3 linked regions of the Nothobranchius furzeri genome follow. The protein of the gene in region 2 binds, or shares a complex with, the protein of the main gene of each other region. Links are inferred from orthologs where the notes say so. Each region holds a gene or a part of one and is shown on either strand. Other genes may lie near its edges.

Region 1 (5,250 bases), on a different chromosome or scaffold from region 2:
AATCATATTGTGGCCCGTATTCAACAGGAAACACCTCCTGTAGCACCGAAAATGGTCTTTTAAACTCTGAAGTTCAGTCAGATAAGTTTGTTTTAAAAAGTTGCCTCACCTGAAAAAAATATGCTCTTTCAGCCGGATCTTTGAGCAAGCTCTGAACAAGTGCAATAAAAGTGCACTCGGTTGTTCTCACCTCTGTGTCCACAGTCTGCAAAAAAAATCATATCATATCACTCAGAGAGCGCTCTTCAAGAAAACATTGACATTTGCATCAAGTATCATTAGTTTACATACGTCTGTGGTTGCAGAGGTAACTGGGAATCCCTCCAAGTAGGTCTGGATCACATCAGAATCAACATCGTGTCGAGCAGAACCCTTGCACAACTCCAAAATCAACTGAAATATCATCAAAATATGTTAATGCACGACTGAGACACCAAAACAAGAACGTTTGCATGTGAAACAAAACACCATTCACCCTGGCCTTCAATCCGAGAAGGAGATGCGCTCTCTGTCTGTGGTTGATCAAACCAGGAACTGCTTCTGTCAGCATGGACACAAACTCCTGCAGCTTCCCATAGTTCATCACATCTTTCCCCTTCATCAGATTCCACATAGCAGCAGACAGAAGATGCAAGGGAGGCACCAGGAGGCGAAAGGAGGGCAAAGGGAAGTTTGGGTCTGAAACATTAATGTGTAAAGTCAGAAATGACCGATGGAGGGCAGTAACACACCCCCTAATTCAGAGAGCATTCAGAGTACTTGCAGGAAACAGCAGGTGGATAAAATTTTCACGATGTGATTTTGCAAAGTTCTCACATTTTACACATAACTGAAACAGTTATTGGCTTCATACAGATAATTAAAAACAATCAAGCAATAAAACAATCACGTGATCTGTTACATTGTTGTCTGTCATTTGCTTGCTTGCTTGCTAAAGTCACTGAGACCAGTCAGTGACTGGATGCAGTTTGCTGGGTTCCTTATATAGGAAACTTTTTTTCCTGATTGGCTTAATGAACTGACCTGTATTGGAATGTTAACTATGTGAAGTGCCTCGAGACGACTCTTGTCGTGATTTGGCGCTGTATAAATAAACTTGAATTGAATTTGAGCTACAGGCTTTTGAACTGGAGAAAATCCTGGACAGATCTTTAACATTTTAGATACACAATCTGGAAAATGTCCACAGATGTTACTCAAAAGCTTCGCAACTTAGTTAAAACAATATATCGCGTAAGAGTGTCTGTACATTTAACAGCAAGCTAACTTCCACTGCGCAACAACAACAGTCTGCCAAATAATGAACATTGTGGTTCCTTTAAATAGACAGAGCCCACTGATAGTAAAACAAACACGTCTCCAGAAAATATCAGAAAGGCAAACTGGTAACATACATACCCTCCATTTTTTCTTTTGATTCCACAACTTCCATTAAAGCATCCCACCAAGTGAATTTGAGGAATCTGTGTATATTTGTGCTGTTTGTTTTGGTGGCTAATGCGCTATTAGAGCGCAAGCATCGCTTCCTCAAGTATTCACTCAAGTTTCCGCTTTTCAAAATATATGTCTGAAAGACGTGTTTTGGTGTTTTCTAATGAATTTCAGAATGCTATTATTTTCAAGTTCTTTTTTACTTCAAAGCCAATGACTAGATAAAGAAAAAGTTTAGAAAATTTCGACAGCTCGAAATATAAAAGTGTGAATTCGAGTGCATTGATGCCTCTTCAAAATAAAAGTTAATCATTTCCTTTTCCTAGAGTGACGTAATCACGTAGCCAGTCACACTGCTCAGTGTCACGTGAAGCCTTCAACGGTGTAAATGTTTTGTTTCATGTCATTTTTTCTTTCAAATTTCGTGCCATTAGACCTGAAACCACATTCCTATTCACAGGAAGTGTAAAACGCTAACATGGACGAGGACGGCCTGCCGTTAGTCGGGTCAGGAGTCGATCTTACGAAGGTTTGTGTTTCTAACTGGTTAGCTAACACTGAAAACCTGAGAACCCAAAGCTATGTTTGTGCTTTTTAACAAAATATATAATCACTAATGCAGAGAAAACTGTGGCCTTTTTCTAACTAATTTCACCTACTTGTAACTGTTTGCCTAGTCATTTTCCTTTTGGTTTGTTCTAAAGAAGTATCAAAAGAGGAAAGAACGTTTTCTCTCCGAACACTGATGTTCTATTTGAATACATCATTCATTAGATTCTATTACCGGTGTTGTGCCGAAAAGAGCTTGTCTGCGAAAATGTGCATCCCCTGCGGGAAGGCGCGTATGAGACCGCTTTTTAATAAATGTGTACAACATGAGCTGCATCCTTCCTTACAAAATGATGGTTTATGAGCAAATAAGTAAAATAAACTACTGTTTATAACATGTTTTATTTTAAGTAATATAATGCACATATAAAAGGTTAGTCATTTTGAGTCTGCTTTTTTAAACCAACAAAATTGTTTAATACTTGCTAAAACATTAGTGTCAAACGTGTTGAAAAAGGTCAATTATTTAATCATTATTTCATCATATTTGTAGTCAAAAACAAAATCTTTTCAGGAGAAACACGGATTAGAAACGTGTTCAAATTCTGAATTGCTCATAATTCAAATTCTTCTTCAATTTGCGTCTTTCGACGGGGATACACATTTCGGTAGGCGTGCTCTTTTCGGCACAACACCTGATATACAGTAGTCTGTTATTCCAAATGTTTTTCCTCCACACCGATTTGCATCCATTATATGCAAAGTCAGACATGTGGGTAGAGTAGCCAGAGATTATACTCAAATAAGAGTAGCATTACTTTCATATATGTTTACTTGAGTAGTTAAAAAAAAGTACAAAAACTGTGTTTGCAAAAAAGCTGCTCAAATAATGAGTAATCATAACAGCTCCTTTAATTTATAAAATCCATTCAAACAGATAATAGTATAATGTTATATGATAAATTATATAATGTAAAGACTTAATTAAAATGTTGCATTTCTTTTTCCTAAAAATACTCAAGTAAATATAATTAGTAACTACCCAACACAGAAAATCAGATTTGATAGTTTTCATCATTCTTTTTGCCATTAGCATTTTGTTTGATGCAAGACTTTAAAGGTAGAACTCAGCTGCTTTTAAAATTCTCTCAAATACTTGAAACTTTGCAATAATCCACAGGTTACTGTATGTTATTGTGTTGTTTAAATAACACTGCTAACACATGACCCTGGTCTGTTTATGTAGATGTTGTTTATTCTCCCTGGTGTTAATTGTTGTTTTGTACTGCTTTGTTTCAATAAAGATTTACAAAAAACATTTTAACAGCAGTAGTTAAAAGTCATTTTAGAATCCCCTCAATATTATTTAAAGCCATAACATTCAAAAATCAATTATACTAGAGGTTTATGTTTAGTAAAATAAACTATAGTAACACTTGGTAAGTTTTTAATTATACTGCTTTTATCTTTTCTCAGGTTCCTGCAATACAGCAGAGACGAATCGTTGGATTTCTCAACCAGTTTGTTGTGCACACCGTACGATTTCTTAACCAGTTTTCCACCGTGTGTGAAGAGGTTTGTGTTTGTTTGTTTGTTTTTTACTCCTTAATGCTTCTTCTGCCTCAGAATATGAACTCAAATTATGTATTTATTTATTTTTTTTACTTCTCTTCACAGAAACTTGCAAACATTTCTCTTCGCATACAGCAGATTGAAACCACACTCAGCATTTTAGAGGCTAAGGTAACTTGTGAGACCTTGATACCGTTTCTGGATGTTGTCTTTTCACTTATGCAGTGACATTGTTCTGAGCAGCTGTCCTCTATTCCTGGACTGGAGGACGTCACAGTAGAGGGCCTCAACCAACAGCAGGCCTCCCACACTAAAGGACCCAGTACTATCGGTCAGAACCTAACTAACGGTGTAGCAGCAGGACCACCTTCTTCCTCAGAGGTAGGAGTTCAGACCCACCTGCAACAGACATGCAGGTTCAATCGGCCACGATGAATGCCAAAACAGTCTTTGTGTCTTTTTTCTTGTTTGGGAGTCTGTGATGCCAAAAATCGGCAGTTGAACTTTTCTTTTTAAGTCGGAATGTAGATTGTCATCAGCTCTTTGGTCGATGCAACAAGTAGAAACCTGCCGTCAACGCAACTGTTGTTTTGTTTTCTTTTGGAGTTTACGTACAAAAAAGGCTCAACATTCCCCTCCTGTTGTAAAGGATAGACTTTTAGTTTTGAGAACCTTCAAAGAAGTATGTTTGTTACTGGCTGCTTTGTTTGCATAGTGATCGGATTGGATTTTGATTGTCCTCCTCACACTCTGACAGGATTGTAAAATCCTATCCAGAAGTGTGACGTTACATATTTACAGTGAGAAAGGTGGAAAACCTTCAGGGCAGATTTCCTGAGTCTGCAGCACAGAGTTCAGGCCGAGGTCAGTAAACAAGCCATCACTTTTGGTTAAAACAGTGCACCAGGTCAGCTCAAACACCTCCTGTCCTCTGTAAAGCACGGTGGCAGGGGGCTGATGATTTGGGCTTATTTCTGCAGTGACTGAGTCAAACATGAACTCCTCTTTACACCAAAGTGGTCAGACTTAAACTGAAGTATAGATTGGGTCTCGCTGATTAATTCCCATCGTTACTGTGCAAACAAGACAGGCTTGCGCCATTTGTGATGAGATGTATGTCATGTTTGCACAATGACGCTGCACGTTATTCAGCGATCCACTGTCCACGTCCATTTTGGAAGTATTTTTAGCTGTGAGACACCTGATCATAGAAGATAAGATAAGATAAGAACAACTTTATTTATCCCGAGGGAAATTCTTGTGTCATGTACATGCTCAAAGCAGTCGGAGAGACAAAGGAACGGGTGAAATAGAAATATGATATACAATATATACATTAAAAAAATGATCTACAGTAGTACCATGTAGGATAGTGCAAAACAAACAATCGCATATCTCAATAATTAAATACATGACTGCATCCTTGTGAATAAGTAATTAAGCCGTCGGTGCAGGCGATTCACAAAAGTGATTAAAGTATCGTGTAATAGAATATGGCAGGGATTCCCAAAGTGTGGTGCGCGCACCCCTGGGGGTGTGCGAGCTGCCGCTAGGGGGTGCGCGAGGTGAAAAGTGTAATGGCTGCGGAGCTCAGAGAAGTCTGTCATATGTCACCATTAGCGTAGAAACTCATTTGTGGGTGGGCCAAAGAAAAAGTAAGTGGGCCCAATAAATGTAAGTGAAAACAAGTATATTTTT
Region 2 (4,916 bases):
TCTCAACGCCACTTAAGCGTTTCTAACTCGGACAATCATACCAATGAGGACACTTCGAATTCTGGAGGTTCTTGAATAATACATTTCTGCACCAAAGCAAACTGTCTTGTGTTTTCTTTCAGTCTGACAAATACACACATATGCTAACAAAAACTACACAGCAGCAAACATGCTCGCTTTTCTTGCCGAGATGGTGCAATAAAAAATAAACTGCGGGCTTAGCTTTAAATAATGCAAAAGCTTGAGCTGGGGCATGTACACACACACACACACACATTCACATGTTTACAGCCAATTTCCCTGCTAAGTGACACACAGCTGCTGATATCCTTCCTGCATGTTCAATGGGTGACAAATTCACTGCTTGGCACGATGCTTGAACAAATTTGCAAATCTAACCCTAACCCAATCACTGGATCCGATTTGAATGAAGAAAGGACTCATGAGCTCCGACTTTTAACACAGTACACCGACTGTGCAAGTTGTCCCACTTAAAAAGACGAGATGAGTCTAATTTTCATCATAGCTACTCAAACTGTGAGAAACAGAAGCTAAAAAAACTCCAGGAAATCACAATGTCTGATTTTTAAAGAATTTCAGTATCAATATGAATTTCTTTTTTCTATCTAATTTTATGGGACCCCCACCTTCGTAAAAATCTACTTTGGCCATTTTACAGTTTCTCCTCGTTCTCCGGAACAACAGTTTAAAATAACTCTAAACAGTTTAAGCTAGTCCATCAAAAGTGGGTTTAAGTGACTGTGTGAGTAATAAACTTCACCATCTTCACCCTGAACACCACTCTGCAGCCCACTGCTGACCAGAAACAGCACTTAACAGTTTGGTGGAGTAGGTAGGTGCCCTATAAGGGGAGCTCTTTACCTGCTTCACAGCTGTCAGCTGTTATGCTAGCAGTTAGCATTTTCAGTTTGCAGATTGTCAATAAAAAAACACAAGAAAAAGTAAAAAAAGACGTTTACTTTTTTGTGTAGAACATTGGCACGACCTACAATAGAGAGAGCTAAAGGAGGTTACATAATTGCAAACTGATGGTGACCTAGCTTTGTTACTTGACTTGTAATAATACTTTTTGTTCAACAAATAGGATCTTTTTACTTGGTGGTTTATTTTAGTATTAGCTTGCTCTTGTTAATGCTAGCTCGTTGTTAGCGCTAGCTACAATTGGCTGCAGCAGGGTTGTTTACAAAAGTTGTAATCCCACTTGCAACCAGTAGGGCAGGGGGTCAGGAAGCTGGTCAGTGTTACTTTAATAAGAAAAAAAAAAAAGGAAAATCAAATGTCAACATAAACTCAATGGCCACTTCATTAATTACACATTTTAATACAAATATCTAATTGGCCATAAACATCAATTCACATGTTAGCAACTCAAACCATTTACATATCTAGAGAACACTTTATCCCACCTGCCATGCCTTCTCATCAAACGGACGAAGTTTATTCTGTATCTTGTGATGGGGACGGTTTTGTGAGGAAGGGTCCACTGCCCCAGAGAAGATAGATGAGTAGTCCTGAAGATGGTCTGGGGCTGGGTACTTGGCACTGGAGAAAACCTAAACAAATGCGTCAAATTAGGATTGTTTCATCTTGGATTTTAAAATTTTTAAACGGTAATTGCTGTTACCTTGGTGGCCTTCTTGCTGCCTTTAATCTTGTCAACACGGGCCTGAGCTAGTCTGATACGGTCAGAAACGCTCTGCAGCTGGCGTCGGTTTTTCTCTACGCTTTCGGAAACCCTGAAGGCACCACCAACAGGAATAGAACACAAACAAAACTATAAATAAAAGCTGAATACGTCTCAAACTGTGTATTTAACTCGTTCATAAAGATTGCATTGATTATGTTTTACCAACTACATTTTTTTTTACATAGGAACAAAAATCACTCCCACTGGAAGCGGAATTTTCAACCTGAAGCAAGACTTTATAAAGACAAACCCAAATATTTTCTTCCAATTACTCTCTTTTGGAGCTCTGTAGCTTTATAGATATGTTTTCAGAAAAATCTGAACGTATGTGTGCGCACACATGCTTGCCTTCTGAAAATGTCAGTGGAGATCAACTCAAGATACAGCAATGCGTCTGCTATCTGATGAACAGCCTCCTCTCGCCTCAGATCTGGTTGAATGAGGGGCACCGAGTACACCTGGCCCTCCAGGCAGTGCCTCTGTGTCATCCTACAAAGCAGCGGTGCAACAGCAAGGTTAGTAATCGATTAGACATCCAGCTGCGTGCAAAACACATGGAACTACCTCTTATGGGAGAAACATATGAGGTGAAAAGCACTAATCAACTCGTCTTGCAGTGAATCAAACATCACAGACACAGTAAATCTGTGCCAGAGTTTCATGATTTGTCAAAATAACTTACAAAACCCCAAATAAATAGCAGAAATTGTTGGTTTATGCTTTCAGATCGAGCAGACGAAAATAATACTGAATCACTCAATTAAAAGCAGTAATTTTGGAGATTTTAAACACGCTTTTGGGAAAGCCAGGAGATAAAAAGTCATTTAAAAATGGAAATGGTTAGAAAACTTAATTAAGCCATTTTGACACAAAGAGAAGCACAATACCAAGTTTGTGTAAGAAAGTCATCACGGGAACTGGAACAGTTCATCTAGCAACAACCCATCATCTGACTCACATGACGAAGACTCACAAAGAACTAATACTTTTACTTTTTTCTTATTTCCCGGGCTTAATCATCTCAAGTTAGCAAAATGGACCACAGCTAATACATATGTGAGCCAGCTGCTGCTTGGAAATATACTCCAAAAAACAAACAAACAAAAAACAACTAATGAAACAGTGAGATATTGGTTACCGAAGGTGTCACCCGATAACGACGTTGCACTGACAATAATATCCTTACCTCACCATTGGATTTTGATTTCTTCCTAAAGACACTTTGAGAAAAACCTCGAAGAAAATATAGAGTTTAAAGGAGTTTAGTTGTCTGTTATAGCTTACAGATCGACTACAAGATAGCCTAGCAAAACATCGGTTTCATACTTCCGCATCACTGTATCATGTGACCATGTAGAAAACGATGGTGTTGCCTTCATGGTAGCTCGGATAGTTTAAAATTCAAACCTAATGTGCTTATTATTAACCCTCTAAGGCTCAAAATAAGTTTTGATAAAAGGATGAACAACTACGTCCTTTAGGGGTACTTCTGAGTTAAAAAATGTTCATGAAATACATATGTGGAGTAACCAGGTAGGTAGGTTTTAACTGTTGCAAATCTGCACCGCCTGCCTCCAGAGAATCACAGTCGATTATTGTAGTACGGTGGTTTCTGTGGTGTGGCAGAGGTCATAATACCTAGAAGACTGGACTTGTGAATGTAAATGCATCGTAAATCCCAACTGCGCTGCTCTGGGTGGCTGTATGTTGGAGTAGCTCTGTTGACTATATGTAAGTTTTGCCTTTTCTTGGGCATTTTTTTTCTAGTTTCTCAAGAAAAACTGTATTTTTGGACACTTTACTCTTCTGTTTCTGGTGCTGTGAAGCTTGGAGGATTTTTACTGCTTTTTTTTAGCTTTTTCACTTTTTGAGCATTTGTTATGATGCGTAACCATGGCAACAAGCTGTTTACAATGGGGAGCAGCTGATTAACATTGGAAAGGCTGAAATAATACCTCAACTGAAGCCACAAATCCCAAATGAGCTAAAACGCAAGAAGCGTTGATGCAGAACGGGAGCAAAATGGAGACAGAGAAAGAGGAAATTCAAACCATCTCTTCCATCGATCATAATGGGCAATGTGAGATCACTGGCCGACAAGATAGAGGAACTCCAAGCCCTTTCAAGGACTCAGCCAGAGTTTCTGCAGTTTCGAACCGCTGGAGGAGATAATGCAAAGATGGATTCTCCAGAGAATCAAGAAAATTATGGACAACCCTGAGCATTCTCTTCACAAGACTGTCAGACAACAGAAGAGTGCCTTCAGTCAGAGGCTTCTTCAGTTTCGCTGCAACACTGACCGCTACTGGAGATCCTTCCTGCCAACAGCCATTGTAATATACAATAACTCTTTGATGACTTGATTATTATTATTATTATTCTGAGATACTACAGCAATCAATTTCCCTCTGGGATTAATAAAGTATTTTTGAATTGAATTGAATTTAAATGAAATGTTGAAATAAAAGACAAAAGTGGTTAATAGTAAATAGAGAAAAATGTAGTTAACTAAGCTCTAGTTTTGACGCAGAATAAATATTTAATAAAGTGTGCCTGATTCAGAAGAAAGTGGATGCAATGTGTTTGATTTTGAAACAATTTCGAAATCGGAAGTGACGTACTGTTGACTTAATGTTGAGTAGGAAAGAAAAATATGGTTCATGGCTTAAAGACAATTCACGAGTGTTTTATAAAATAAAGAAAAACGCTGTTGTTTGCAACCTGTTTTCCTCGAGGACCTGTCCACTATTTCGCCTGTAGAAAGTGAGACAGAGAATGGAAGTTGTCCCAGTTGCCGGTCGTTGGTTCCATCCCTATAGGTCCAAGACAAGTCAGGACCCCCCTAACTCCAACCCTTATCCGCATATACTCATTAAAGTTGATTAATTCTAAACTTTATAGTAACACCAGAATTTTGATTATACTATAGGGTGTGTTACTGAGACTTTATCAATTTAGTATTTACAAATATAATCTTGGTAAACTCACGACCTCAGCACTGACAAACTTGTGGGGACTCCTTGCTATCTTGTATGGACCCCTCGGAGGGGTTACAAACCCTAATTTGAGAACCACTGGATAAGCACATAAAACTAGATATTTGAGTCATTTTTGCCTTTACTGATATTATGCTTTTGATTTTTGAAACATTTGATACCCAAACAATTTTTGCATTACTTTCAAATAAAATGTATATCTCTGTTTATTA
Region 3 (5,180 bases), about 7.2 Mb from region 2:
TAACACTCCAGCTGCAATCTAAATCAACAAAGCAGTCTGGACTTTCTCAAGGGAGTTTTACTGACAAGAGGTCGGTACCAAGGCAAGGTCATCCTCCCAAAACCTCCTCCTTGTAAGACCTGCAGGGGCCTGTTCTCCATCACAGAGTAAAATAAACGGATGAAGCTACATTTAATAAACACCAGATGTTAAACAGTCAAGACATTAATAAAGTTAATATCAGTTTTTACCCATCACATATCCATGGAGGGACGCACAGACCTCTGCTGCCTAGGAAATGGTGCTCTGACTGCCATAAGGTATCGAGATGAAATCCTTGAACCCTTTGTCAGACCCTACGCTGATGCAGTAGGTCCTGGTTTTCTCCTAATGCACGACAATGCCCGGCCTCATGTGGTAAGAGTATGCAGGCAGTACCCGGAGGATGAAGGAATTGAAACAATTGAATGGCCTTCATGATCCCCTGACTTAAACCCAATAGAACAACTGTGGGACATTATGTTTCGGTCCATTAGGCGGTGCCAGGTTGCTCCTCAGACTGTACAAGAGCTCAGGGATGCCCTCACACAGATCTGGGAGGAAATGCCACAAGACACCATCCGTTGTCTCATTAGGAGCATGCCCCGACGTAGTCAAGCATGCACACAAGCTCGTGAGGGCCACACAAGATACTGAAAAGCAATTTGAGTTGCAGAAATTAAGTTTTTGAAATAATGGACTAGCCTGCCACATCTTCATTTCAGTCCAATTTTAGGGTGTCTTCACAATTGAGCCCTCTGTAGGCTGATAACTTTTATTTCCATTAAATGACTTGGCATCCTTTTGTTCCTAAGACATTGCCCTGTCGTTATTTGTATAGACATCCAACTTCATAATGAGATCTGATGTATCTAGTGTGTTTCTTTAAAGTGTTCCTTTAAATTTTGTGAGCAGTATATATATATATATATATATATATATATATATATATATATATATATATATATATATATATATATATATATATAATATTTCTTTTTTTGTTTGTTTAAATTCTTGTAATATGGGTTAAAATTTGCTCTGCCAAACAATTGAACTGCATCTTTTTTGAATTGTTTGCATTTTTGTGAGTCCTAGGTTGTATGTGTATGTGTGAGCATGAGGGTGTGTGACTGTGTTTGTGTAGAGACTTCACTTTTCATTCAATATTTTTATTTTAATCATTCTACATGGATGCAAAATATTTTATATGCCACTTGAAAGGTCTTCAGCTTTGAGCACATTGTTTTTGACCTGACATTTGAGGTAAGGAAAACTGTTTCTGTGACCCTCAATTCCCCATTTTCTTTTTAACAATTATTTGTTGAGAATCACTGCTTAAATTATATATTTTTGATCCTTTTCCTCTAAAAAGTTTCTTATTATTTTATTGTAAATTATATATATATATATATATATATATATATATATATATATATATATATATATATATATATATATATATATATATATATATATATATATATATATATATATGTATATATATGCGGTACGTGTGTGTGTGTGTGTGTGTGTGTGTGTGTGTGTGTGTGTGTGTGTTTATGTAACATATTTGTTACATAATAGTGCTTAATATATATATATATATAACTAAAAATAAAGCACTATTTACTTTCTCAGTATGTTCCTAGTTGGTTATTGACGCCGCACCGGAAGACTACATTTCCCATGAGCTCTAGCGGTGAAAATCACAAGACCCATCATGAGAGTGTAGTCTTACTTTCTAGCGTCTCTTTGGGATTTATTCTGGTGATATGGCTGTGGACACTATCGCACCCGACTGGGAGGTTGACCGTTTTGACGACGGTTCCCAAAGTAAGTGCTCCCTGCAGTCCTGGCATTCACAGAAATACAGCAACGGAGAAAAGTTAGCTGCAGTTTGCACATAGTGTCAGCCGACGTTGTTAGCAAAATGCTTTGCTGCTTTATTTCTTGTACTTTCCAGAAGAAAATACAATGTTTTTCATTCCAAACTATTTTGTAGACATTTTTCTTGGAAAAATTTAGTGTTTGGTGTAAATAAACATGCTGGAAATAAGTGAAAACAAGACGTAGTTAGTGGACGTCAAAGCTAGCTAGGATAGCTAAGGTTTAGCTTGCATCTTTGACAGCTGGTTCCTTTTGTAACAGCAACACTAATAATAATATTAATAATAATAATATAACTCTTACTATCATCAAAAGGGCTTATTTGTTCCTGTAATGTCTAATGTGTCTCATTAATAATAATTCCCTTCTCAACAAATGTATCTTGTTTACTTAATTGTAACACTGCTGTAAAACAGTTGTACTTCTAATGTGTTCATTTCTGCCTTCAACGTGCAAATATTTAATCAAAAAATATTACAAGACCTTCAAAAGCCTGTCTGTCTTAAAAAACTAAAAGTAAATCATTAACATCACGTTATTATGCAACTTCTAATAGTCACGTATTGCCATATGTTTGCTTAATTACCAAAACATTAATAATTCTGTAGCTGTATTTGGTTCATTTTGAGGCAACTGAATAAAGCAATGTTCTATACAAAGAGGTATAGGTGACATAGTTTAGTAAAAAAAAATATTTTCTAAAATTTGAGAGCAGAACTAATTAAATTCAAAATGTGTGTTCTCAAATGTAATAACTTTCATTTGAAAACTATTTTTCTCAGTCATTTATGTTTTGTAATCCACCTGTCAGAAATACACACAGAGGTTCAGATGAAGAACTACAGCAGGTTTCTGGAGGAGTACACGTCCCAGCTGAAGGGCATCGAAGAAGCTCTTGATGACTCCATAGGAGACGTGTGGGACTTCACTTTGGACCCCATCGCGTTGAAAGTAAAGCAGCAAAAACAACAGAAAATTAGCCTGAAAAGACTTCTGTTACTGTATCTTACCATCTGCTCTGTTTCAGCTTCTGCCTCATGAGCAGTCATCTTTACTGGAGTTAATTAAAACAGACAACAAGGTAAGCAGACACAAATTTGCCATGTTTTTGAACTCAGAGCAACTTTTTTTTTCTTCATTTGGAAATCCCTGTTTTGTTCAGGTTCTGAACAAAGTTATCACAGTCTATGCAGCTCTCTGTAGTGAAGTGAAACAACTCAAATATGAGGTGAGAATGGTCAAATGGTGAGCTCAGATCAGTTTATGACGTCTGTTTCTGTTAGATTTTCATTCAAATCATTTCCTTTTTTTCAGGCAGAAACCAAGTTCTACAACGGCCTATTGTACTATGGAGAAGGAGGTAGAATATCTGCAATTATTTGTGACCTAAGTGATACACAGCACTTCTGTTTTAATAATGAAAATGAGCAGTTTGGTCTGTTTTTATGTTGCAGTGTGTGAAACCAGTGTTGTTGAAGGGGGGTCGCAGATTCAAATGGGCAGATTCATTTCATTCCTTCAGGTGGGTGGTTAGCAATACCCTCCATAGGAGTTTTATTCATTATCAGTGCTGTTGTTTCAGTCATTATTTTTGTCTTCCTCACGTAGGAGTTGTCCTGCTTTGTTTCAAGATGTTATGAGGTGGTGGTCAACATTGTTCACCAGCTAGCTGCCCTCTACAACAGCAGCAAGTAAGAGCCATGAGCTGAGAAACCCATGTGGTTATCATTAGGGATGGGTACCTTTGACATTTGAATCGATTCTGTACTAATACCTAGGAATCGATACCGGTACTTAACGGTACTAATTTTAGTTACTTTTGAGTGTTTAATATTTTAATTCTCTTTTATAATTAAATATATATTTTTCTCGATATATAACCATATTTGATAAATATCACAATAAATAACATGCAACTGTTTGTATTTTAACATCATCCTTGTAGTTTTATAAGCTGATAATTGAACTGAAGCAAACATCTTTACTGTGAACTAAATTTACTGTGTATCTTCATTCCTTTTGCCATCCGTTTTCTTTTGATTTTTCCTACTGGGAAGTTAGAATTTCCGAGGAGAAAGCGAACGCACCATTAGCTGATAACAATGGTGGCAATGGAAGCTAACATATCAAGCTAACATTATCTTAAACGGTTTATTTAGCTGCTGGAGCAGATTTAAACGATGATGCCTCACACTTAAATCGTTGTCACTGGTTTCGTCTTCACCCAATCACCCGTCGCATTTAGTAAAGTGAAGCCAAACTTTAGAGCGCGTTCATGTTCTTCTATAGTCGGAAATTTGGAGTTCCGAGGAGAAAGCGAACACACCAGTAACGGAACGGAAGCTAACAAATCAAGCTAACATTATCTTAAACATTTTATTTACCTACCGGAGCAGATTAAGATGAGGATGTCTCACTTAGATCGTTGTCGCTGGTTTCATCATCATCCAGTTACCCATCACATTTAGTGAAGTGGACCCAAGCTTTAGCGTGCGTTCTTTCTACCATGCTGCTCTGTTTACAACTGGCTCGCAGTGACCAACGACATAACGCTCTTGCGCATGCGCAGCTGTCTAGGCAAGTTCTCGTTATGAAGGACGGGTACCGAAACGAGGCACCGTTTCAAATGACGTGAATCGGTGCTCAGTCGGTACTATGGAATTCGGTCGGTACCTTAAAAAGTACTTAATTCGGTACCCATCGCTAGTTATCATGAAGGTTTTATTTGATTGACTTAAATCCAAACATTTCCAGTGGAAACATGGAATACTCTGCTTCCATAAAAAACAACTTAGAGACTGATCAGCAATCTCTAAATAATGTCACAATTTCTGTAAGGGTTGTTGGGGAGGTGAAACATCGAGAAATAAACCGGTGCACCATTTCTAGGACTTAAAAGTTACCCACATCACAGCTGAGCTTCAGACAGCAGATTTGGAGTCTTACTTCCTGATGTTTGAACGTCTTGCCTTGGATTGGATAACAGCTACACGACTCCACCACTAACTTGCAACGTTTTATCTCTACAAGTAACACAAGCCTGGAAGAGCTTCTACCATGTGGTGGAGTTGCAAATGCTAACCGTTAGCTTCTACTAGTCGAGATGTCCTCTGCTAATTCCTAGAAGTTAACAAAAAACAGCCTTCCTCGTCGTGAGTCAAGATGGGTGAGTCCATGAATGTTAGGTGACAATGTGACATAGATCTGTCAGGCTTTTCAAATCCTAGATTTTCACTATGTGGGAGACTATTTTCATGTTCAGCCTGCATGAA

The links. Proteins that work in one complex are often made in the same cells at the same time.
Region 1: wash1 (region 2) and washc3 share a complex: the UniProt entries of both Homo sapiens proteins name them as parts of the WASH core complex. The link is inferred for Nothobranchius furzeri from reciprocal best matches to the Homo sapiens genes WASHC1 and WASHC3.
Region 3: wash1 (region 2) and washc4 share a complex: the UniProt entries of both Homo sapiens proteins name them as parts of the WASH core complex. The link is inferred for Nothobranchius furzeri from reciprocal best matches to the Homo sapiens genes WASHC1 and WASHC4.

What each region holds. Positions count from the first base shown.
Region 1 is NC_091741.1:43,371,663-43,376,912, reverse strand, and holds the start of washc3 (WASH complex subunit 3), read left to right. Parts: upstream 1-1,774; 5' UTR 1,775-1,909; coding exon 1,910-1,960; intron 1,961-3,456; coding exon 3,457-3,555; intron 3,556-3,657; coding exon 3,658-3,723; intron 3,724-3,795; coding exon 3,796-3,933; intron 3,934-5,250. Other genes in the region: uncharacterized protein, read right to left, coding at 1-37, 110-205, 292-393, 476-678, 1,399-1,432. UniProt on the Homo sapiens protein: Acts as a component of the WASH core complex that functions as a nucleation-promoting factor (NPF) at the surface of endosomes, where it recruits and activates the Arp2/3 complex to induce actin polymerization, playing a key role in the fission of tubules that serve as transport intermediates during endosome sorting.
Region 2 is NC_091744.1:70,584,552-70,589,467, reverse strand, and holds the start of wash1 (WASH complex subunit 1), read right to left. Parts: upstream 3,067-4,916; 5' UTR 2,903-3,066; coding exon 2,895-2,902; intron 2,198-2,894; coding exon 2,057-2,197; intron 1,758-2,056; coding exon 1,646-1,757; intron 1,575-1,645; coding exon 1,428-1,574; intron 1-1,427. UniProt on the Homo sapiens protein: Acts as a component of the WASH core complex that functions as a nucleation-promoting factor (NPF) at the surface of endosomes, where it recruits and activates the Arp2/3 complex to induce actin polymerization, playing a key role in the fission of tubules that serve as transport intermediates during endosome sorting.
Region 3 is NC_091744.1:77,763,244-77,768,423, reverse strand, and holds the start of washc4 (WASH complex subunit 4), read left to right. Parts: upstream 1-1,704; 5' UTR 1,705-1,793; coding exon 1,794-1,854; intron 1,855-2,719; coding exon 2,720-2,859; intron 2,860-2,935; coding exon 2,936-2,989; intron 2,990-3,070; coding exon 3,071-3,136; intron 3,137-3,222; coding exon 3,223-3,268; intron 3,269-3,362; coding exon 3,363-3,430; intron 3,431-3,516; coding exon 3,517-3,599; intron 3,600-5,180. UniProt on the Homo sapiens protein: Acts as a component of the WASH core complex that functions as a nucleation-promoting factor (NPF) at the surface of endosomes, where it recruits and activates the Arp2/3 complex to induce actin polymerization, playing a key role in the fission of tubules that serve as transport intermediates during endosome sorting.